2 linked regions of the Drosophila melanogaster genome follow. The protein of the gene in region 2 purifies or fractionates together with the protein of the main gene of each other region. This does not show direct contact. Each region holds a gene or a part of one and is shown on either strand. Other genes may lie near its edges.

What was found.
Region 1: the proteins of Myo61F (region 2) and SMC5 purify together in Drosophila melanogaster (affinity purification with western blotting, with the first as the bait; one study listed by BioGRID). This does not show direct contact.

What each region holds. Positions count from the first base shown.
Region 1 is NT_037436.4:21,564,344-21,576,441, forward strand, and holds SMC5 (structural maintenance of chromosomes 5), read left to right. Parts: upstream 1-4,908; 5' UTR 4,909-5,035; coding exon 5,036-5,109; intron 5,110-5,177; coding exon 5,178-5,550; intron 5,551-5,613; coding exon 5,614-5,792; intron 5,793-5,913; coding exon 5,914-6,160; intron 6,161-6,212; coding exon 6,213-6,311; intron 6,312-6,376; coding exon 6,377-6,664; intron 6,665-6,718; coding exon 6,719-6,820; intron 6,821-6,878; coding exon 6,879-7,087; intron 7,088-7,146; coding exon 7,147-7,310; intron 7,311-7,388; coding exon 7,389-7,718; intron 7,719-7,773; coding exon 7,774-7,991; intron 7,992-8,047; coding exon 8,048-8,272; intron 8,273-8,342; coding exon 8,343-8,567; intron 8,568-8,632; coding exon 8,633-8,790; intron 8,791-8,846; coding exon 8,847-8,964; intron 8,965-9,024; coding exon 9,025-9,120; 3' UTR 9,121-9,180; downstream 9,181-12,098. Other genes in the region: CG7634 (uncharacterized protein), read left to right, coding at 1,177-1,465, 1,524-1,687, 1,745-1,924, 1,983-2,098, 2,163-2,256, 2,319-2,495, 2,551-2,840, 2,891-3,036 and 1 more; CRIF (CR6-interacting factor), read right to left, coding at 3,792-4,490; EMC10 (ER membrane protein complex subunit 10), read left to right, coding at 10,284-10,343, 10,401-10,568, 10,884-11,267, 11,327-11,398.
Region 2 is NT_037436.4:1,320,403-1,333,495, forward strand, and holds Myo61F (myosin 61F), read left to right. Parts: upstream 1-4,160; 5' UTR 4,161-4,168; coding exon 4,169-4,227; intron 4,228-4,714; exon of another isoform or gene 4,715-4,850; coding exon of another isoform or gene 4,851-4,858; intron 4,859-5,592; coding exon 5,593-5,737; intron 5,738-5,798; coding exon 5,799-5,914; intron 5,915-5,970; coding exon 5,971-6,433; intron 6,434-6,495; coding exon 6,496-8,759; intron 8,760-8,821; coding exon 8,822-8,918; intron 8,919-8,998; coding exon 8,999-9,013; 3' UTR 9,014-9,215; downstream 9,216-13,093. Other genes in the region: CG9184 (uncharacterized protein), read right to left, coding at 1,603-2,300, 2,350-2,380; ND-ACP (NADH dehydrogenase (ubiquinone) acyl carrier protein), read left to right, coding at 9,739-9,888, 10,461-10,547, 10,640-10,768, 10,878-11,057; msd1 (mitotic spindle density 1), read left to right, coding at 11,380-11,416, 11,472-11,851; msd5 (mitotic spindle density 5), read right to left, coding at 11,950-12,711; CG2211 (uncharacterized protein), read right to left, coding at 13,015-13,093. UniProt on the Drosophila melanogaster protein: Unconventional myosin that functions as actin-based motor protein with ATPase activity. Binds to membranes enriched in phosphatidylinositol 4-5-bisphosphate, and can glide along actin filaments when anchored to a lipid bilayer.

The sequences.
Region 1 (12,098 bases), about 20 Mb from region 2:
CAAAGTTCGCCAAACTATGGGAAATTATACATACAAGTATGTAATTCTCGATTACGAAAGCTTTTATCGCTGCATACACAAATATTTACATGTATAAATATTTATTTTCCCAGTGGATATTATAGAAATGGTCATTTTGTTTTCCTATTTTCGTAGAAAAAAAAACGAGTCTAATAAATAAAAAAATGAGTGCCTGTTTTTAATACCAAGCACTAAATCCAAATCCAATAAGCCAATAATTAATATATAAAATAAAATACACTTGGGAGTTACTTAACTAACACATGATGGTAAAGTAAAAAGTGTATTGTCTTGTAAAATTATTTCGAATTACCTTTTTATGAGATTTGCCGTTGCCTAATTAGGATTCATCTCTCCTTGTTTACCATTCTAATGGGTATCATTAGTTTACTCCTTTTAGTGATTTCCTTATCACGGCAACTATGGTCTTTTATCTAATCACTAATTAGGGTCGTTAATATTTTCTCAACTTTTCTCAAATATTAAATGTGCCAAGAAAACGATATTTTCTAAAACCGAAAACTAAGTAAAATCCTAACACCTATTTTCCACGTGCACCTGTAGAGCTTCCGAATCCTTTCGATCCAACACTTGTTAATTGATTTCGAGTCTTAACTCGCATTTTCGTAATTAGCGCGCATATCTTAGTTAGCAACGAACTACCGACATTTTGCGTTGGATGCTTGGGCGATGACAGGTGGAAAGCAACTGGCTGCATGTCCAGATGTCCTGCCCACTTTCGGAAGTAGTGAGTCTCGGCGGGTGAGTGCGCAGGCGTTGAAGCCGAACATCTCGATATTCCGGGCTCGCCAGAGTAACTGCATGTGGGTAATAATTTCGGCTGTACTTGTGGCTTTGGGGCAAACCGAAGTGCTTGGGAATCATGTGAATCTAATAAGGATGCAGCTTTCCCCACTTTACCACATTCGAGGCACTCGAGTTTCGGCCATGTGCCTGTTGTTTACCAAAGGTTTATACATTGTTTTCCAAATCCATTAATTATAAAGTCACATTCAATTTCATTGGCTTTATAATAGATGGGTCTCGAAATCAAAGCCCCATTTCAGCAAAAGTCTTTGAACATGAGCTGAAAAATGATTCAGTTTGATTCAATTGTTCGTTGAAAAAACAACAAAATAAAAAAAAAAGAATAAAATGACTTCTATTATACCGCCGGGCTCGTTAGTTCCGCAGGCGCAGGGCGTAGAAGCAGCCGTACCCGTATGGTTCAAGATGGACTGGAGCCCGGAGATAGAGCAGGGCATCTACAAGGACTGGGGAACCTATTACAGTCGCCGGCGCAGGGAGAATCTGGGCATGTACTACTTCGACAAAGCCCTTAAGCTTGGACCTGCAGATTTCACGACTCTGTATCGCCGAAGCCAGAGCAAAAGGAAGAATGCCCAGGCAGATGGGGCACTTAAGGACAGTTTGGAGGCAAAACGTAAGCTTAGTTCGTTCTTCTTGAAAACTTGCATTAAGTAGATCGATTTCGGCCACAGGACTATTGAAAAACTTGCAACGCTATGATGCGCCTATTAATTTGGAGGTCTGCGATGCATTGTACGAACTAAATCAGCTTGAGAACGCCAAAGCCGAGCTCCACGACAATACCCGCCTCTTTACTGGAAACAAAACTAAAATGTTCGAGCAGCGACTGGTGGTGGTACGATGGTGTTTCGGGTTGAGTTTGGGTTTCTCCTGATTTCTGGGGTGCTTCCAGGTGGACGAGAACATTGAAGATGCCTGTGGCCCTTCGATGACTCAGTACATATCGGACAAGGAGAAACTCATAGTGCACTTGAAGGAGGTACAGAACAAGTACAAGCCCGATACCAGGCCGCTTTGGAAAATTCTGAAGGAACAGGAGAAATGCGATGTCCTGAGCATTCCCGAAATCGAAGTGGGTATTATTGGCAAATTTGCAAAATTACCCTTACTGTTATAGGCCGTCTTACTAGGAAGAAATGCTTTCCCCCCTTGAAATTGCGAGGCGAAGTCGTGCTTTCGACGTGTTTAACCAGATGTTCATAGATAGGTCTTGGCATGATGTCATATTTCTCAAGCACGTTCGAAAGTAAAACCATTTGTGAAACTATAAAACATTGATTATAGCATATGTACCTACATTTTTGCCTTAGAAATCCAAACCTTCTCTTGAATCAGTGTAAGAACTCCACTGAGTACTTACAAACGCTTTCTACAAAGAAATATGACGAGATCAAAAGCTTTCTGGTGAGTTTGAGTGGTGAACCCGAATTATGAGTACCCAAATTGTCCCTAATTGTTTATTTCAGAAAATTCTGGAAGCCCGTAGCCCCATGTACAATATCCGATACCAAAAGTTCACAAACAAGAAGTTGATGGATAAGTTTCGCCAGGAATATCTTTTTCGAGTTCAGTACCAAACAAGACGAAACATGATTTCCGCACTGCGTAGTATTCGGTACCTTCGAAAAACCAAGAGTCTAACAGTAAGAATTTTGAATGAATTCGAACAGAGATTGGTTAAATGATTAATGGTTTTAGAAACTCACCAGTTACGTGGAGGAAGTTATGGGAGATTACGTGGTGAAAAAAACCAACAGGATTATGCCCTGGAAATTCGAATTCATCAACGAGGTGTACAATATTTTGGCGCTTGCCTACGTAGATCAGTACACGCTTCCGAAGAACTTTCGCTTTTCGGAGAAGAACGCACTGCTTCGATTGCTTCGCTTTCCTATGGACAAGTCAAAGGAAGTGAAACACTTCGTATTTGGGGATCGAACTACGCACCAAGGCTCGGAAACAGTAGATCCGGCCTTGACAAAATCACGGTAACTCGCAGTCGAGATAAAAATTCTATTTTAATTTATTTTGTTTTCAGTCTAATGGGAAACCGACTCGAGAACCGTATGAATTTCGCAAAGTACCCTATAGAGAAGTCCTACCTACTTCACCAAATGGCAGAGATTCATCTTAAATCACACAGGTTTGACGAATGCTGTTTTAGTGCCCGAAAGTCTATTGAAGGTTTGGTCCATTAGTGCTATACTATTAAACGGTTATGGAAATACCTATATATCTATCTTTTTAGAGGCAAAAAAATGCAATAGCTACATTTGGCAGTTTCTGTGCTACCTACTGATAATAAAGGCGAATGCTGCACTCCACAAAGTCGAGCGAACCAGTGAAGCTCTAGATCTGGCACTAAAAATTTCCAAGGAATTGAAAGAAAAGCATATTCATAACTTCTTGACTGCCTGTATACACTGTAATGAGGAGGAATTCATCGTGAAGAAGCAGAGCATTTTTGCGAATAGCCGGCGCGAAAGCGAAAAATCGGTGTATAGTTCCCTGTCCGTGCGCCATAGCAATTAGAGCTTTGTATTATTTGTATAACCAAAAATATTGATTAATAAATTCTCAGTGCAATTATAATAGTGTAGTGACCTATTAGATACCTATACTCAAGTACCCCTGCGTATTTGGAATTTGCATTCTTATTATCAACTTGCAAGCTCCTTCATGGCTAGATCGACTCGGCTACTGATCCTCTTTTAAAAATAATGCTTGTGTAACGTATATATTACACAAACATCGGGCTTACTTTTCACTAGTCTAAGCAAATTCTTGTCTTAATTTATAAAAATATAAAATATTTTGCAACACTTTAAAATATTTTATGGGAGTACAGATAATAAGTGCTCTTCTTTTTGCAGTGTTTTTATTTTAGTGTAACATACAACAGTTCTTCGCTTAAATCGATGGTTTTGATACTACAAATATTACACTGATGCTTTCTCTACCAGCTTGGCCATCATCTTCTCCTCCTTGGCCTTTCGCTTGGCCTCCTTCTGCTTCTTCTTGTCCTCCTTCTCTTTTTGCTCTAGCATTTCCTTAAAGCGTTCGTCGCGTGTATCCACCTTGAACCCGAAGTGTCGGCGCACCTCCTCTACCAGGCGTTCCTTGCGTTGTATGGCTGCCGCTGCATCCGCCTCCCGCTTAGCGATCTTCGCGTGCAGGTCCGCCTTCCACTGTGTCAACTTCTCCATCTTCTTCGCAATGTCCTCTTCACGGGCATTTATCCTTGCCAGCTCCTCTGCCTTCTGCGCGCGGTTCTTCTCCAGCATTTTCAGGAGTGTTTCTAGTTGCATAACCTGCCTGCTGTCTTTCTCTCCGTGGGAATCGAAGCAAATCTTGGGATTCACATTGCTCTGGGCCCCATACCGGCCGAATGCCTGTCTCTGGTACTTCTCGGTCAAATGAATCCAGGAGTGAGGTTCCTGGTATGGCAATTTGTTAAGGAGCACATTTTTGTGTTGTGGTTGCAGGCCGGATCTGTCCACCGTCTGGGGATATGTTGGTTCCACATCCACGTCGCCGACCAAGGAAGCCGGCAGTTCCGCTTTCGCAGCGCTCGAGTACTGGGCGCACGAGCGGAGGGCAGGAAGTCTGGTGACAACGCTTATCTTGCCTACATTCATTTTGAATTGTATTGTCTAAGCAAAATAGTTTATTAATTTCCAATAGAGATGAGAGAAAATCGATAGCGATGACACCAATGCTGGCAACTAAACCCTTTTGGAGCTAAATTCAGATATTTTTTAGGCCCCGTCAGAAAGATAAGTAATAGATATTAATTGTTGTGACAGTCTGGCTGCATCCCAGCTCAAGCTCTATATATTTCTTTTTTCCTTGCTATTTATTTCTATCAATTTGTAATTATCGTTTCCACGATTTGTTACTGACATTTTACTTGTCAGTTTTTATTCCGAAAATAGATTTCTGAGGCTTAAAATTATCATTTTTATGTTGTCAGCTCAAAATATAAAAGAAACATAAATTGATTATACATACGGGCGGCGCACAAGTGTACCCTTAATATACCAATCGTTATCGACAACAATGGTACGTGCACATATGCCCTAATGCAAAACTAAATTCTTGAAAGCGCGGAATTGCATTTAAAACAACTCGTTTTACTTAAGTTGAAATAAGCATTTGCTCGGATAAAAGCCTACGCCACGACATGGCGGGGGATCGTGCCTTAAGTTCCAAGCAATTGGCGGGGCGCATACATTCCGTGTACTGCAAAGATTTCGTGTAGGTTTATTTCCATCAAAGGCGCAAATTGACAATTTCGCGGCTCATTTGATTATTTCCAACAACAGATCCTACAGCGAGATCACATTCCATCCGAAGCACTACCTGAACGTTCTGACCGGTCCCAATGGCAGTGGCAAGTCCACCATCGTGTCGGCCATAATTTTGGGCCTCGGAGGGGAACCGATTCTCCTTGATCGCTCCGCCAGCGTTGCCGACTACATACAGAGCAACAAAACCTCGGCCACCATAATTGTCCGGGTGTATGGACGCACGCCCAACACCACGGAAACCTTTCGGCGCATAATAAACTCTAATGGCTTGTCTACCTTCTCTGTGAACGACAAAGACACCTCCAAGAAGAACTTTTTGGCTGCTGTATCCTCCTTTAACATACAAGTCAGCAATTTGTGTCAGTTCCTCCCGCAGGATCGGGTTCAGGTATGTCGTTATGTTGGCAATTCATAAATTACACACCTATTTATTGTAAACATACTGTTTCAGGACTTCTCCAAGATGAATCCTCAAGAGCTTTTGCTCAACACAATGTCCTCCGTGTGTGACGAAGACCTGATCAACAGCTTCAACAGTCTAAAGCAAATGCGCACAGAACAGGCGAATGTCCATGCTAATCGGGAAAAAGAGAAAAGTGATCTGGTTAAGAAGCAAAAACGATTGGAACAGTAAGATATAGTTACCCGAGCTTATTTTTATTCACTAAGTAAAATGTAACCAAATGTGTGGATGAAGTACAAAATTTTAATTCTTACTAAAAACCTAATTGTCTTAATATCATTTTATTAGCTTACAAATGACTGTGTCCCAATATAAAGAACGCGAAGAGGTCAAGCAAAAGCTGCAGGTGTACAGTGCGAAGAAATTGTGGGTTGAGACTCAGGCTGGAGAAGCCAAGGCCGCAGAAATGAAAACTCAAGTGAAAAACGCAAAAACTCAGAGCGACAAATTGAAGAACCAACATGACAAACTTCTTCAATCCCAAGAACAAATTGAGAAGGAAAAAGAATCACTCAGAAAGGCCTTATTGGAAAAGGTAATGGGTGGCAGTGTTTTTTAATATATTTTTTAAAAATAAGTTTTTTTAGACACGCTTATTAGAAAACGCTGTAGCGGAGAAGGCGGCTATTGATGGTAAAATGGACTCTTTGAAGCAAGGAATTTACCAAAAAAAATATGAACTGGAGGTTGGTGTTCTTGTTGCATATATCGATCATGTGAATAACTCTTAATCTTACATTCTGTCACATAGCAAAACATTAAAAAATCACGAAGAACGGCCACAGAGTGTGATAACCTAAATCAGTTGGTGGAGAATAAAATTTACGAGCTTGAAACCCTAAATAAGAGCAGGCCTCTGATCGTTTCGGAACTTGAAAGGGCTAAGGAATCGTGCGCAGCTGCCCGCGGGAAAGCAATGGAGCAGTACAGCAGACGGAGACAACTGGAACAAAAACTGAATGATGAAATGATTCCTGAAATTACTGCGTATAAACTTAAAATAGAGCGGTTGAGAAACGTCAAAATGCAAAAGATTGATGTAAGTTCTTACTGAAATAATGAAAACTCAACTTAACGCTACCTTTCATTTTAGGAAATTAGAGCAAAAAATCCGAATTTGGTTGTGGCCATGAACTGGTTGGCGCAAAATAAGCAAAGGTACAAATTGAACGTTTATGACCCAATGATACTTGAGGTGAGCTTTTCAAAATGAAGCCATTACCAATGGCCTAATGTTAAAACCGCTATCATAGCTTACAGTACAAAATCATGAGGACGCAAAGTTTTTGGAAAACGTTGTGGCGCAGCGCGATTTATTTGCATTTGCGTGTGAGGACAAGGGGGATATGTCGGACCTGATCAACGAGTTGTGTGTGAAGCAAAAATTGGGAGTTAACGTTATTTACTGCGCACCATCCGATAGACTCGTGTACAGTCCCAAAACTCCCATCGATGATCTGCGGTATGCACTTGTCAATTGTCCAATACTAGTCCAATACCTAGTTTTAAATACTTTTACAGCTCTTTCGGATTTCGGTCATACCTCGTGGATCTTGTCACGGGACCAATACCACTAATAAACAAGCTGTGCGCTTCCTATTCCATTCATAATATACCAATTGGCACAGAAGCTGTGGGCAATTACACTTCATCCATTCCAAAAGCTATCCGAGTTTATTTCGGCGGTGTGTATATTTTTCTTATTCGGTTTCGCTTCGCAAATGTATAAATTCTGATTTTGAATTCCGTACTGTGCATTTTAGGCAGCAAGAAGTTCGTTGTGACCGCATCCCGCTATCGGTCGGATACTATTCTAACTGAAAGTAGCATTCGAGCGAAGAACCAACTTATTACAGTGGACTCACAACAACTGGCCCTGGTGATGAAACAGTGCTCCGAAGCAGTGAAGGAAAGCGACAGCATTAAAAACGCAATAACCCAGACCGACAATGAATTTGAACGATTGCAAGCTGTTGCAAAGGATGAGCAAGAGAAGAGACGAAAGCTTGACCAAAAAATAGCCCATTTTAATAGCCTGAAAACCGAAATTGAAACGCTCCAAAAGAAGCTGGAAGCCCTGCGCAATAGCGATTGTAAGTATTTCTTAGTGCACTAAATATTCAGCCATTATGAACCGTGTTTTTTCAGCGCTAGACTGTCTTGAAACCAATTTTTGTAACAGTTTGCATAAAGACTTAAAAAAAATATTCGATGCTGATGCGGAATTGTGCTCGTGCTTGAAAGCTATTGACCGACTTATAATTGAAAAGAATATGGCCCAGACAAAGGTATCCATTTATATGCTGCAACATGAGACTCAAATTGAAGCCCTCAAGGAAAGCGAGGAACAGAGTAAAGCAGCAACCGTAAGGAAATCGAAATGCACTTAAGGAATTTATTTATAGGAATGTTTTGCTTGCAGAGAGACTTCCAACAGTTGCTGCAGTGCTTAGAAAATCAAATTAGCGACGTTAACAAACGAAAGAGCGCTATTCAGGGCCTTTGCCACGGAGAAATTCCAACCAGTAGCAAATTTCCTTTTAAGAAGGAATTTAGGGAGCTGGAAAATATAGATTTGCCCGAACTACGAGAGGCAATACATGACTTTCAGGCACGATTGGAGTGCATGAAAAGTGTAAACTCCGAGGTAAAACACTCTTTTAAATTAGTGAACTGAAGCTGATATATCTAATAACTTTCCATATTAAAATATGCAGGCCATCAGCAGCTATCAAGGACTGCAAAATGAAGTCAAGCAACTGGAGGAAGGAATTCAAGAGTCTGTTAACCAAGCAAAGAGCATCGAGTCTGGCATGTCCAATTTATACGACAAATGGGAGCCCAAACTTAATAGCTTGGTAGAAACAATCAGTACCAAGTTCAGCGAATTTATGGAGTCCATTGAATACGTGGGAGAAGTTGTGTTATCCAAAACCGACAAAGTGAGAACTTAAACTGTCCTACATAAAAACTTTACTTCAAATGTATTTCACTTTATTAATTCTAGTATGACTTTGACTCATATGGTATTCAGATAATGGTCCAGTTCAGGAGAGGTCTCCAGCTGCAGCCGCTGGACAAGTTTATTCAATCTGGTGGCGAACGCGCAGTGTCCATCGCCATATACTCATTGTCCTTGCAACATGTCACCCACGTGCCATTCAGGTGATTGCGGAACCCAGCTGCAAACTGACGCCCGATTTATAGTTCTCCATTTCTAGGTGTGTCGATGAAATAAATCAAGGCATGGACGCTACAAATGAACGTCACATATTCGACTTGCTCCTCAAAGAAGCCACCAAGCACGGCTCGGCTCAGTATTTATTTGTAACACCTAAGGTAAATATAAATGCTTATTCATTTAAATATTTAGTTAACTGTTTTAAATCTTCTTTGTAGTTGCTTCGAGACCTGAACTACAACGAACATCTCTGTGTTTCCATTGTTCACAACTCAAAAACTGTTTGCCATGGCATGCAATTCCCGATGGCTTAGACACTTTGGGTCATCCAGATTTACTATATGTATTTTTTTATATTAAACACTACAAAACATATCTATTGCATTTTGTCGAATGACCAGCCTTGTGGGGACTCCTTTTCGAACTGTTGGCCTACTCGGAATAAAATCTGTAAGCCGGTAAACAAGTCCAAAGGCAATGATGCCTGACGATTTGTTTTATCAGATTTCAATTTGTCCTCGATTTAAAACCCTACAACAGCACCTATATCTTATTTCATATGTGAAATGATTTTAACACTACAATGCGAATACTTTTAAGTAAAGAGATGCCTTTGTACATATGTTTTTTAAGTAATTGGATAAACTATTTTGGGATGTTAAAAAATATATTTATATTTATATATATATTTATATATATTTAGATATGCAATTTAATGCAAATCATTTCTTTACAGGGTTAATATTAAGCAAAGTATGTCAAAAGTATGATCCCTCGACGCAAACTATAAAAGTTCAGGTTAACTTCAGATAGATGGTTAGTTTTTTATCAGCTCCAAAGAAGTCGGGTTTTGATCGCAATCCGTGTGTGCCCTTATTATGGTTGGGATTTTTTAGATCAGCAGTTATTGCTATATAGCCATATTTATAAATCTTCTACTGGCCTACTAAGTCCCAACATAATGAGAGTAAAAACCACAGGTTCGACGTTCATGTGAAGATTAGAAAAATACAGACAAATATATTTCATAGTTCAAAAAAAGTTTTTAATGTCTATTTTAACAACTTTTGAGTACTCCAGATAGAGAAGCGCACAGATATTTAATATGATTGCAACGAACAGAATGGTGAGTTTCATAAAAGGGGTGTGTACAAGTTTTGAATACTGCCTTTGAAATCGCAGAATTGCAAAATTGCATTTTGGTCCCAAGAAAGAAAAGTTCAATTGGAAAATATGTTTTTGGCTAGTATTTTTGCTACTCATATAAATTGTAGTGGTAATCCCTAAAGTTCGATTCCGGACAGAGGGTATCAGTTCAGCCGCTTGTTGAGAGAAAACGGAATACCCCAACTTACTCGCAGTATATTTTGGTATTTTTCTAGGAGCTTAGGTTGTTTTTGCAATGAGCGGTCACTCTATTGGCAACCCTCAGACGATTGAAAAATTAAAATTAAAATTGAGCGTTTGGCAGGGAAATATGTATTCAAAGGCGGGATTTGTTCTAATTTTCGTGCTGGGTCTAGTGTCCAGCAGCTGGGTAAGTGTTAATCCCCTACGTACTGCACATAACGTGTCTAAACCAACGTTCTCTCAGGGATTCCTGGAGCATGACAGCTGGATTACAGTGGAGCTCCAGCACTCGCTGGCTGCAAACTCGGAAAGTTTCTCCTTCCGCGGGAATGTGACGATTCCCAGTCTCAACTCTGGTCTGGCCAATGTGGAGCAACCAGATCTGAGCACTGCCGATCTGGACTTGCTGAAGGTAACAGTGGTTCGGGCACATGGGCACGCCGGTAGGAAAATGTTCACCATTTTTCACCATCCAAGAGTGGTGTACTTAGTGCATCTTATGGAGTGGTTACAGGCGAATGAGGTGGCTAGATATTCGCTGAGTATTGAATATACTGCAGCATTAACCATTGTATTCTATAAGTGTAGAAATGCATTCAATTATATAGCCTGTTTGTTTCCATTTAGTTTTTAAAAAGATGCCTTGTCAGTTAAGTTTAAGCCTTCCTGTTGAACGTAATCTTAAAATAAGTATGCACTTAGTAATAACCCCTTTAACCTTTTTTAGAAACTGGCCCTTGGAAACGAGTTCTACCGTTTGAAGGCCACGGTGGTGTATTCAAATGGAGCTAAGGCGCAGTTCATCACTTCCAACAAGGCCTGTCGCCTGCTGCAAGCCCAATTGAATGACGTGCTTTGGGTGTCGCTCGAACCCTCCGGATACGTAACCGGCATCACTGTGTCCCAGGACACGGCCCCGGCCACTATAGAGTGCACCCAGGAAGACGTGAATAAGCTACTGGAAACGCAATTCAGCACCGATGTCCTCATCCGCCACGCTGAACTGGCCCCCGTGCCCGATACTGCTGGCTTTATTCAGAAGGTGGAGCGGGAGCGCGAGGCCAGGGAGCGCGGGGAGGTTCGGGATAACCGCGGCTTCTTTGCCAAATACGTAAGTACAAATACTTTGGCCTGAAATCCTTTATTACAAATTCACTTTTTTATTTTTAGTGGATGTACATCGTTCCGGTAGTTCTGTTGGTCTTCATTTCGGGAGCCACCAACCAGGACGGTGCAAAATAGGTTAACTGAGTGATGTGGTGTAATCTTTTGTTTGTTAGCTTTTTCTAATCACAATTCCTAGACAACTTTGGTTTTAGCGATTAAAGATTGAGTAAAATAAAAATGATTGAGACATTTTAAATTAAATATACACAGAAATAATGCTTTTGAGCTCCCAGAGGATTTCTTAAGAGTTGGCATAGGGTTTTGAGACCTCATATAAATATTTGTAATAGGATTTGCACCTGATTTTCGGTTCACATTGTTTTCGGAAATGGTGTGCAGTTTATTTTATTTATTTTATTATATTTTATTAATTGAATGCCTGCAAACAGCCGAGTTTTATTTGGTATGCTTATATTGTACTTTCAATTTGATAATTGAACGTTTGGAATTTTGCCGATATATTTTTCCTGGTTTTCGGATATTTCTGTTCCGTCCACACCGTGTAATCAAAATTTGAAATCACTTCAAATCTCTTCTTATATTAAGGTGTCAATTATTTTGAGTTTGTGTATTTCTCAATTTAAGACTGTTTCATGGCAAGCAAGCCATATTTTAGATGGTTTGGATGTATATCAGCCATGTGATTTGAACGTCCTGATCATTAAACCCTGCAAATAAGTTTCGGTTAAATTTGTGATCAAGGTAAGCAAATGTATACAAACCGTATTTCTGGATTTATATAGTTTTGTTTCTGGCAGACAATTCCCAGCTTATT
Region 2 (13,093 bases):
CTCTTATCGGAATCGGTGGCGTTATCTTCTCGCTGGGTTCAACCAGTTTTACTGATATGATATTGATCGTGTACGCTCTACATATGTACATACAGGGTGCTTTTACCTCTTCTTAGCCAGCTGCATTATGACATTAATTAATGTCTAATAAGATAAGATACGAAAATTAAGTTGAATCGACAAAAGACCACAAGCGATTGTCGTAAACGTCCATCGAAGCACATCGCTTTTCCACGAAAGATGTGGAGGTCTGGTCGACAATTGGTATGCCCTCTTTTATGAATGGGCAGATGTGTCACTTGGAAGAGTAGAGAATGACCTGGTCTTACCTAGTGAATGGATTCATTCAGACATTGTTCTTTAAAGATGTATAAGATACGATCTCTTAAAGAAGTTACGATTCATTTTCACCTTTTAAATTACAAATATTGACGGCATTCTACTATTATCTGTAGTATCCTGGCTGAGAAACTGCTGATCCACCTTAATAAAGCGGTAATTGGCCATGTGGCAATATGCCCCATTCAATCAATTGTATGGCACAAGTACAATTATAGCAAAAATCCCCACTAGTCATAAAGTTCGACTGGCGAGGAACCAAGAACACGGAGCCAGCACTTCCACTCCATTCCATTTCTTTCGACGGAGGAGTGAGCTTGAGTGAGCTCGTGTTGGGATCACCATTACATCGCACCTCGGATTTGCTCAGGTTCGGTAAAGTGCCAAGTAAGGGCTTTTCGTGGAAGCCCCAATCCCAAACTCCAAACTCTTATTCGACGTGAGTACGAGCAAAAAGTCTGTTTTGAAGCGGCCAAAACAGTAGGAAAGGCAAAAACGAAACAAAACGAAACGCTTTTGGGCAGCTCTTTCAGCAGATTTTTTCTTTTTTTTTTGCAATTGGCAGTAAATCGCGTTCAAGATCGGCCTCAGCTGTTGACGCTTTTTATGGCTCGCAGTGAGCTAAGAAAACAGCGGGCCCCAGTGATTGTTTAATACTTAATGGTTATCCGAGACCGAGACCCAGGCACTTGGCATGCGTCACAATGGCGGCGTGATCTCCTCGAGATCTCCTCGTGCCCAGAAGACTCGTCCCTAAAAGCGGGTGACTCAGCAACCGAGCGTCCAGATTCTCTTATATACATATGTATTTGCAACCGGCTCGATAAGTTTGCCCAGTTTGAATTTGAATTTCCAGTCTTTGCGGGTGCGAGAAATGACGATGATGACGATCGTTTGAACGAATTCGATCATCTTTACTCTCGGTCAGCGGCCTCAACTGGGTTCTTTATAATCTAACGATCCATTCAGTTGGATGATCTGGCAAAGCTATTATCAGGGTTTAAGTAATCGTCAATCTCGAGTGGATTAATAGAAACACCTTCTGCCTTTCTCCTTTCTGCAATTCTGTTTCTACTATTATGGGCTTTCAGTTGGACGATTTCTTTAAACATTTATCCAGTCAGAATCGATTAGATATTGAATAGGGCTATAAACTAGAACGCATGCGATGATAAGTAAGAACTACAATGCATCACGCGGTTACTCGGAATATACATGGTACACAATTTATTAAGTTTTAATCAATGATTGGATTAGAGTACTTCAAGCCCTGGCCATTTGGAGTAGGTGATAAAGTGGCACAACGTTAGCGTTGTTCCTGCCGTCGAGGAAGTTCTGGTGGGACAGCACGGCCCTGCCCTGGAAAACGCCAGGAATGGCGGCGGAAGTGAGTCCATCGGCACCGGGAAGTTGGTTATCGACCTCGCCAGCCGTCGAGGAGCGATAGAAGGGATAGTAGGGATAGCCAGAATAGCCGCCAAAGCCGGGATATCCAAAGCCCCCATATCCATAGCCGCCATATCCGCCGTAGTAGTTGTAGCCATTGTAGTAGGGATTGTAGTAGGGTCCCGGCGGAGGAGGAGGTCCTGGCGGCGGTGGTCCGGGCGGAGGGGGTGGCCCCCAAGGACGCTGCGGTGGCGGCGGATAAGCGGGCGGTCCTGGCGACCACTGCGGTGGATAGCCATACTGCCGTGGGTGCTGCTGATCCTCTGGTGGATAATAGTAATGGTGTTGTACTGACGGTTTCGGGGTGGTCGACGGGGCTCCCGAGGCCATCACCAGCTTGATGCCGCCCTTACCAATGGTCTTCAGCAGGTGCTCGTCAATCCCGCGTCCACTTCCCAGCGGATCGTCCAGCACCTGTTGCTGCTTTTCGGTCCTGGCCTGTCCGCTGACCAGGCTCGTCTGCAGTGGCGCCTTCTCCTGGAAACAGAGGCCGCTGACCAGCAGCTGCAGGATAACTGAAAAGGATGTGTCACTCTTTCTAGGCAGCCGATCGTCCGTACTCACCCAAACCAATCGCAGTCACTCTCCGATCCATGATCTCTCTCGGAATAACCTGACCACTCCAGTTGCATTGCCCTTTTATACGCGGTGCATCTGTGATGAGATGTGTGGGATCTCGTTCCCGGTTTCCTCATTAGAATAACCCATGCAGTGGCCCAAATTTGGGATGCCTTTCTTTCTTCTGTGTCCATCTCCATCTCCATCCCCAGCTCCAGCTCCAGCTCGAACTCGATCTCGATCTCGGATCGATCAAGCACCGTTCTAATAACTGCGCTCATTAATTTGCATATGATATAAATGCTTGTAGGGGCTTTGTGGGATCTTTCCACTTCTCATTCCACTTCCATGATCGTTCTGCCAGCCCTGCATTTTTCCAAATGAATTCGAAGAGTTCAATATCCCGCGATATTGCTGCTTGATATATGACGACATTTGAATGCAGATGAAGGTTGGTCATGCCACTGAACAAAAAAATATTCAGCAAAGCTCTTGAGTTGGCAACAAATTTTTTGGAAATATGTGCCCTTGAACTTATTGTATTATCGTTGAGTTTCCGTCTTTAGAACTTATCTTTACTTTTTACGAATGTATTTCTCCATCTCGCTACAAAGCAAATCAGCCTCTGCCTCTTGGTTTCCTATTCTTAATGCTCGACTATTTCTTTCGGTGTGCGATTAATGGGTTAGGAACTTTTTCGTTTGGGTGGGACTCATGGTTTTTGGGTTCCGTTATAGGTCGTGTGTCGTAGACATGTTTACGAGTCGTCTGATACAACAAAATGTGGAGTTCTCTGTTACATCACCCGTTGGAGTATTTCTGGATCGGGAAACCAGTTCCCCACTCTATTAGACCGCTGAATGGGGATTAAAGAAAGAGTGGATCAAGCCGACAAAAGCAACGCCCCCAGGGAACAGAAAGTCAATGACTTCATAGTAGGGAGAAACCGTGTTATTGCAGGGATATTGAGCAAAGTATAATTATAATGACTACACACTCATTAATATTTACAGTTTAATTCATTTTATATCCCCCAGCTAGTTTATCTAATCATGAAAGTATCTGTAGAGGCTTGCCCCGCCACCCAGTCAACTTTGGCAACTCTCTTATCATACAACATATACTCGTGTCAATTGGATCCCAAACAGTTCCATGAGATCTGCACTCACCTGCCCTCCAACTTGTGGATTCCTTAAATAGACGTAGCATAATCTTAGGCGATGGTTGGTTTGTCAAAAGTGCTAAAGTGATTGCAGAATGACTGCAAATGGCTGTGCCCATTGGGTGATGTATTCGTATATGGTTTTCGACATGATCGATATCCACTTCCATCTGCCCTACGTGCAATTAAACAATTATGTGACAAACATCGAATCACGGCGAGCTCGGCTCCAACGACTGGGACGTGTCTGCCGGTCTCTTCGAGAATTCCTGGGAAGTCTTCCCGGCAAACATTTCGCAATTAGTCAGGCATTCGTTCCAGTTCCACACAGCAAATCCCCTTCCAAGTGGCGCAGAGTGGATGGAAACACACAATAGTGGCGGTGGAGGCAATTGCAATCTAGTGTGTGTACTTACAATGTTTTCATTCGGCAATGACTTATTATTTAGCACACTGATAGCTGATAACACAGTGCTAATGTGAGCTGGAGCACTTTTCTGAGTCGGGGTTGTGAGTTTCGAGCTCTGACTCACTCAGAAATGTCCCGAAAGCGCGGCAGTCATCTAGAAATCTTGAAAGCATTAAGTTATAATTTACATTTTGGAGAAGCAAGTTTATGAAATTAGCTAATTGTGGAGCAAGAACTAAGTAAAGGAATTCCTTATGTACATTGAAATCAAATCCTTGATCTTCGCAATAATGGATACTAAGGACTACATAGAGTAAGCAGTGCTAAGATAAAGAAAGTGAATAGATTATAAATCATATAGAATAATTCTTGATTAGTTATCTAAAAACCAAGAAACTGGTTCGCGTAGCTAGGAGGAACCACATTATGAATCAACTGAAAACATTGGGTTGCTCGGAATGATGGGAGATGGGAACGCATATATCTTTAGGATTGACGCATGCGAAAAAGACGTATCGTGATCTCAGGTACTTGGAACTCCGGAATACAGCCGATCCGGAATTCTTTGGTGCGCTGCGTTTCTGTCATGGTCTCCTAAATCGGGTCCCGAGTTTATTCGCGAAAGGCACTATCTAATCGGGGACTGATTGGCGGCATTGCCCTCCTCATCGCAGTCATAGGTATATTATCGTTGATAAATGTGCCGACTAAAAAAAAAGAACAACACAAATTCCGACGAGGCCAATTGATATGTGGAGAGGAGAAGTATTGATGGTTAAAACGCCTCAACTGCCAGCGGATCGGTTTAGTTTGCCAACGGAGCCGTCAAAGGGCGGAATATGCGCGGAATCTGACACATCCTCCAGAGAATCATCAATTGGAGCTATCAGTGGTGTTTGTGCAGTAGTGTTGTGGAACAAGAAGAATCGAACAAACATGGCCAGGTAGAAGAAGCGTGATTTGAAGAGAATCCATCTAGAGATGTGCAATTGTTTACTCAGTGACCTAGTGAAGTGTCCTTGGATAATCCCACAGTTATATGACCAGCATTTCTTAGGAATCTTAGAAATCCTACCAGTCACAAATCCATTGCATAATCGTTTCTTTTATGGTTTTACCCGCCGCGTATCAGCAGAACTGGAGCAGTCGTCCAATAAAGCAAACTCTTACCACTTGCCCACTTCCCTTGGCCCCATGAAATATGGCATTGATAAGGTGAATTGCACCTGCCCACCATTACTTCTATGGATCTATAAATACCCCAGATTGGGTATTTGCATTGGGACTCATATAGAATATTATATTGGATATGTCTGATGAGATCATTTGGAATTGATCAACAATATCCACATTCACGAGTCACTATCATTTGCCTGATTCATTTCCGCAGGACTGTTATAAAATATTGTCGAATAGCGAAAATCTTATCTTTGGGGTTTCGGCTTTCTATGGGGCTTTTCTGAATTGGTTTTCAAGAGGTTTTTCCTAATCAAGGTGGTTAAACATGGCAACCCTTTCAGCTGGGCAGTCCGATTAGGTTCGTCAAAGATAAGACCTATGAAGAGGATTTTCTTAGGAAGTTGAAAAATTAACAATGAAGCAAGCACCAATCGTTTCTGTGGGATCTGTATTTAAGGAATCATTTTGATGCTTATGTGAACCCCTTTCTTTGCTTTAGTTTTAATTCCCAACTGAAAATGGAGACGGGCCTGCACGAGCGTGATCGTGCTGGAGTCCAGGACTTTGTGCTCCTCGAGAACTACCAGAGCGAAGAAGCCTTCATCGGGAATCTGAAGAAGCGGTTCCAGGAGGACCTGATCTATGTGAGTAAAAATAGTTAAAGAAGATAGGTCAAAATAATGATAACGATATCCCCTTTCGCAGACCTACATTGGCCAGGTGTTGATCTCCGTGAATCCCTACAAGCAGCTGCCCATCTACACCGATGACCATGTCAAGGCGTACAGAAACAAGCACTTCTACGAGATGCCCCCACACATGTGAGTCTCAAGACCAAGTTGCATTGAACCACCAAATAATGAGCATTCCTGTCCAGCTTTGCGGTGACTGACAACGCCTTCCGTTCGCTGATCGAGGAGAACCGCGGCCAGTGCGTGCTCATCTCCGGAGAGAGTGGTTCCGGCAAGACAGAGGCCTCCAAGAAGGTGCTGCAGTTCATAGCCGCCTGCTCCGGCAACCAGACGACCGTCGAGGGCGTCAAGGACAAGCTGCTAAAGAGCAATCCCGTGCTGGAGGCCTTCGGCAATGCCAAGACAAACCGCAATGACAACTCCTCGCGGTTCGGCAAGTACATGGACATCCAGTTCGATTTCAAAGGAGCTCCGATCGGAGGCAACATCCTAAACTATCTGCTGGAAAAGTCGCGAGTGGTGGCTCAAATGGGAGGCGAGCGCAACTTCCACATCTTCTACCAACTCTTGGCCGGCGCCGACGAGGCCCTTCTGCAGGAACTGCGCCTGGAGCGGGCTCTGGACACTTATAGCTACCTGACAGATGGGGTAAGTGGGCAGCCTGGAGGGTATTGACAATTGGTCTCTGATCTTCGAGTTCTAATCCACAGCTCAATGGCACCGTGACGAGAATTAACGATGCGGACAGCTTCAAGCAGGTCCAGCAGGCTCTCACTGTGATCGATTTCACCAAGGAGGAGCAGCGCGAGATCTTCGGAATCGTGGCCAGCATTCTGCATCTAGGAAACGTTGGCTTCACTGAGGTGGAGGGCAATGCCAAGGTGAACAGCAGGGATCTGGTAGTCACCGCTGCTCGTTTGCTGGGTGTAAACGCAAGCGAACTGGAAGCCGCCCTAACGCACCGCACAATTGACGCTCGGGGAGATGTGGTGACCTCACCACTGAACCAGGAGCTCGCCATCTATGCCAGGGACGCCTTGGCCAAGGCTGTCTATGATCGTCTGTTCTCCTGGCTGGTTCAGCGCCTCAACATCTCGCTGCAGGCGAAGGAAACGCGGGCATCCAGAAATAATGTGATGGGCATTCTGGACATCTATGGCTTCGAGATCTTCCAGAAGAACAGCTTTGAGCAGTTCTGCATCAATTTCTGCAACGAGAAGCTGCAGCAGCTGTTCATCGAGCTTACCCTTAAGTCGGAGCAGGATGAATACCGCCGGGAGGGCATCGAGTGGATACCTGTGGAGTACTTCGACAACAAGGTGATTTGCAATCTGATCGAGGAGAAGCACAAGGGCATCATCTCCATACTGGACGAGGAGTGCTTGCGACCAGGAGAGCCCACGGATAAGACCTTCCTTGAGAAGCTCACCCAGAAATTGGCCCAGCACCACCACTACGTTTGCCACGAAAAGGCGCCCGCCCACATCAAGAAAATCATGCTGCGCGATGAGTTCCGCTTGGTGCACTATGCCGGCGAGGTCACCTACAGTGTCAATGGATTCCTGGACAAGAACAACGACCTGTTGTTCAGGGATCTAAAGGAGACCCTCAGCAAGGCTGGCAACGGCATTGTGAGGAACTGCTTCCCGGAGAAGGAGCTGCGCAGCCTGAAGCGTCCGGAGACGGCTATCACCCAGTTCCGGGCATCTCTTAACAACCTCATGGACATTCTGATGTGCAAGGAGCCGAGCTACATTCGCTGCATCAAGCCAAACGACCTGCAGACTGCCAACGTCTTCAACGATGAGTTGGTACTGCACCAGGTCAAGTACCTTGGCCTGATGGAGAATCTGCGTGTGAGGCGAGCTGGTTTCGCCTACCGACGAACGTATGAGCTCTTCCTGGAGCGCTACAAGTCCCTGAGCAAGTCCACCTGGCCCAATTACAAGGGTCCCGGTGGCCCGAAAGCGGGTGTCCAGCAGCTGGTGAAAGATTTGGGCTGGGACGAGGAAAAGTACAGGGTGGGCGAGACGAAACTATTCATCCGCTGGCCGAGAACCTTGTTCGATACGGAGGATGCCTACCAGGAGAAGAAACATGAGATAGCGGCCATCATCCAGGCCCACTGGAAGGGATTGATGCAAAGGAGGAAGTATCTGAAACTGCGTGCTCAGGTGATCATAATGCAGAGCTATTGTCGCCGAAAGTTGGCACAGCAGGCGGCCAAGAAGCGCAGGGAGGCCGCCGATAAGATTCGTGCCTTTATCAAGGGCTTCATCACCCGGAACGATGCCCCGAATGGCTTCAATGAAGAGTTTATTGCCAACGCCAAGCGTATGTGGCTGCTTCGACTGGCGAAGGAGCTGCCCACCAAGGTACTGGATAAGAGCTGGCCCCATGCCCCTGGGCACTGCGAGGAGGCCTCCGGCATCCTTCACCGCCTGCACCGTCTCCACTTGGCCAGGATCTACCGCCTTAAACTGACGCCGCAGCAGAAGAGGCAATTCGAGCTGAAGGTCCTGGCGGAGAAGGTCTTTAAGGGCAAGAAGAACAACTACGCGAGCAGTGTGTCCACTTGGTTCCAGGAGGACCGCATCCCCAAGGAGCACATCCAGCGAGTCAACGACTTCGTGGCCAGCACCTTCGGCAGCGAGCAGCTTAAGTACCAGTCCTTCTGCACCAAGTTCGATCGGCACGGCTACAAGTCCCGCGACCGCTTTATCCTGCTGAGCAACAAGGCTATATATGTCCTCGACGGCAAGACCTACAAGCAGAAGCACCGCCTGCCGCTAGACAAGATCGACTTCACGCTGACGAACCACAACGACGACCTGATGGTCATCCGCATACCGCTCGACCTGAAAAAGGACAAGGGCGACTTGATTCTGATCATTCCGCGCATAATCGAGTTCAGCACGTATATCATTGACACCGTGGGAACTGCCTCCATCGTCTCCATTGTGGACAGAAATTCGTAAGTTGCACATCGGTTATCCCAGTGGTTTTCTCTTGACTAAGTGTTGCATTCGTTTCCAGGTTGGAGCACAACGTAGTCAAGGGCAAGGGCGGCGTCATCGACATCCAAACCGGCGCCGAGCCCGGAGTGGTTCGTGATAAGGGCCATCTAGTTATCGTAAGTAGTGCGAGCTCCAGCTCCTCATGAGGAAACGCCCATTATCGTGCTGACCTCACACACCAAATATTTCTTTTCAGATTGGAACGCAATAAGGAATTTACTATGACTTTCTTCAGAAAAGTGGCTTTAAATCAAACGACCTTGTTTTGTTATATTCGTGTAATTTATAGTGTAACTATGTATTTTTGTTACTGCAGCACCTGAGAGTTGTGTATTCGGATTTTATATGACTAATGTTCCAACTAAATGTATATTGTTTAAAAATACATATAAATATATTACAATTTGTATATGAATTGGGTTCTTATCACTAACTTGTGGTTTTTCAAAGAGGAAACGTGGCAATTTTTCTAGTCTCTTATATCGTTTCTTTCAAAAAGAACCGCCCACTCGATTGGCAAAAGCAGCAGTCGATAACTTTGCTTTGAAACGTCAGTTCGGTGCTCCAGACTTTAAAAATCTCGTTAAAGTCGTGCCCAACTCACAAAAGAAGATTTCAGCTAACGTTACTACTGAAATTCATGTGAATTAATATACCACTAACAATTATTTAACTGTAAATTATAGTTGGGAAAGTTACTTACTCATTATTCAAGTATTAAGTATTTTTAGTATTTATTTGCGTAAGTTGAGAAACAGCTTAGTACATTGCGCATACGGTCACACTGCTACCTTGCTGTCTTTTTCTTGCTCCAGCACTTTTACATAATCTTGAAAACTCAGCGTAAATATCGCCCAAAATACGAGACCTGCACTCGTGCACCGTCTGCAGAGATGCGATACTAACCCGCTGCGTTTCCGTTGCAGGAGAACCGAGATGTCGTTCACACAGATCGCGCGCAGCTGCAGTCGACTGGCGGCCACTTTGGCCCCAAGGAGGGTCGCCTCCGGCATTCTCATCCAATCACAGGCCTCCAGGATGATGCACAGGATCGCCGTGCCATCGATGACCAGCCAGTTGAGCCAAGTAAGCGAACGTCCAAAGCGGTCCCTTCCGTTGCAGGAGCCCCAATCGCAGTTGAGGACCTAACCTCATCGCAAACGGCGGGGTTTCGTGATCTACGAGTTTCAAAACATTCAATTAAGTGCTTGCAATCATGAACGCAACAGAAGATCCTCGCCATGTGGCCGTCGAACCACCCAATTCGATTGCATCACATTATTTTGCATAAAACATGATTGTTTCCCTATCGCACACACACACACATACACCTGCAACACCGGTGCTCGCACTTGTGTGCGGTTGATTGTACTACAGTGAAAATCCTCTAGAAGTGACCTTAAAATGTAGCGGTTTTAAAACATGTGATTTCAGTTTGTTAAATATCTAAATATGTTTCCACGCCAATCCAAGCAATAGTTTTCGCGGTATTTAATCAGTTGATCATACACCATCGAACCACCCTCGTTTAAATTGCGTATATATTTACACTGCTCATTGAAGAATTAGCTAAGTTGTATGCACCATAAGTCGTAGATGAACTACCAATGCAATTATTCATATAGAGACGAAAATTCACTAGACATTAACATTCGCAGAAGTTCGGTGTGCGCAGCTACTCGGCCAAGAGCACCATCGAGGACATCAAGTTCCGCGTGCTAAAGGTTGTCTCCGCCTACGACAAAGTGACCGCCGAAAAGGTAAAGTACCCATTGCATGGCGCCACTAATCCGGTCTTTGTTTCCTTCCTTTTTTTCTCGGGCCGGCCAAAAACCAGGAGTGCCGTGGTCGCTGGCAAACGCAATTGGTGCGCAGATACTCGGCGAAACCGCCGCTCTCGCTGAAGCTGATCAATGAGCGCGTCTTGCTTGTGCTCAAGCTCTACGACAAGATCGATCCCAGCAAGGTAAACGCCACATATTGCCTTTGCCAGTGCAATGGTCGCCTCAGAAATCAGAACTGAACAAAGCTGATGAAACCTTTGAATACCCAATGCTAATGGCTCGCATTTACAGCTCAACGTTGAGTCGCACTTCATCAACGACTTGGGACTGGATTCCTTGGACCACGTGGAGGTCATCATGGCCATGGAGGACGAGTTCGGTTTCGAGATCCCCGACTCTGATGCCGAGAAGCTGCTTAAACCTGCCGACATTATTAAGTACGTCGCCGACAAGGAGGATGTGTACGAGTAAATTGTAATTGTAATGCAAGCCATTGAACGGATTACACTTAAATTTAAATAGAAAACAAGTCAAATACAATTTGATCAACTGAATAAACCAAACGTTAAATTAACTTGTAGTCAGCAATTGTACACGAGGGCTATAATTAACTGCGGAATAGCAGCTAATAAATTAACTATCCAAATAAATAAACGAGTCATTTAGTACTGGCGGTTAAATTTAAATTTCGATAGAAACGTTGGTCTTTCGATTGTTTTAGAAAGCCTTGTGTATTTTAGATACGCAGCGACGGTCACGTTAATCTGCTAGCATTACAAACAGAATATTCGAAATGTCAGACGCTGTGGACAAAATGTTGGCGGGAATGGGTAAATATATCTTTAAACCACCGACACGCGTTCTATTCCGTGCTTCCAATTTCAGCGGCCAATCGGCAGACCATGAACCGCCAGCTGGCTAAGATAGACGAGATAATGGAGCGGTCGAACAACACATTGCTCCACATCGAGTCCAACAGCAAGGCATTCAGTCAGAATGTGGCTTTGTCGGAGACCCAGAAGATGTACAACCTCAGGCCGGAGGCTGAGATGACCCTGTCCAAGATCCTGGAGAACTTCAAGCTGCTCATGTCTAGCAGTGACCAGCGGGAGGAGACATACAGCGCTCTGGAGGGCTGCCTGGCCTACAGGCATCGCGTGGAGCACCTTGGCAGCTCCGTGCGTAAGCTGGTGGCGCTCTACGACACCGTGGGCCAGATGAAGAACTCACAGGAAGAGCAGTATGCCAGCGAGGATTCCCCCTAGCTCATCCATTTTTAGAATTTATTATTATGTTATAGTTGAAAAATAATTTAAATAAATTAAACATTTGATTTGTATTTAAAGCTCTTTAAGCGAGGTTTTCAAATCATGGCCATATTGTAGCTGCTGACTTGGAGAAGCGTATAGGTAAGCACCTCTACGAACATCTCCAGGCGAGCGGCAAGACTCCCGGTGGCGAGTATCTCATTGGGATTGGGCAGCTGGAGGCTGTTGGAGCGCAGGTAGTTGAGCTGTTCCATATTGGCGGCTATGGTCAGAAGCTTCTCCTGCTGCTCGGATGTAAAAGCATCTGGCGGAGACTCACCGCCGGTTGGCATGAGCTTTTCCAGCTGCTGCGCAAATCCATGGAGCTGCGTCAGCTTCTGCTTGTATATGGATTCTGTGGTGTCCAGAGCGGCTGCCTCGTCGTAGATCTTGGCCAGCTTTCGCTGGAAACCCTTAAAATCATTGTACACGTCCACGGCACTGCGCTGCTCCTCCAGACGCGTCAGACTCAGCGAAACGTTGGATGTGTTGATGCCCATGGCCACCGACTCGTCTGCTCCTCGCAGGAGCGTTGAGTTGGTACGTTGTAGCTCCCGCTTCTTGGGCATTTTCTGCAGGTTGGCCGGGTACTCTTCCAAGGTCTTGAAGAGCTCCGCATAGTCGGCTACCGAGCTAAGATCCCTCGGGGGCGTAGTGGCTGCTGCCTCCTCCTCCATCATCTGCTGCAGGCTGTCAAAGAAGGCCCCCGGTTTCATCACCGTCTTGGATACGCACACGTCCTTTAGGTTTCTCACATGTTGCGCGTACTTTCTGTACAACTTGGATGAAATGCTGCTGAAATCTACATTAGTTTCCATTTTTATTGTTTACGCTTCACTTCTCCTTTGATAACTTCGTTTGAATGGCCTGCGCCGCATCTATCGGAAATCGATAACGCAAGCTGTGGCGGTTTAAATTTGAAAACAAAAGTTCTATACAAATTATGATCGCTTACGGATTACTTGGGTTTTTATTTTTAAAAGCACAATTTTTAGAGTGCACTACACGTATTTCAAGTCTTCAGTGGTTTTAACGAGATCTTAATAGGGAGTTTATACCATATGAAAGTTTGGACTAACATGGCTGTTTGAATTCTGAGTCTCAGAACTACAAGGTGCATCTCATCCATACTCGGACTGAACGGTGAGCGAAAACTGACCCTTGGGAATTGAATTGGCATGGTACCAGATGCGTGTGTCC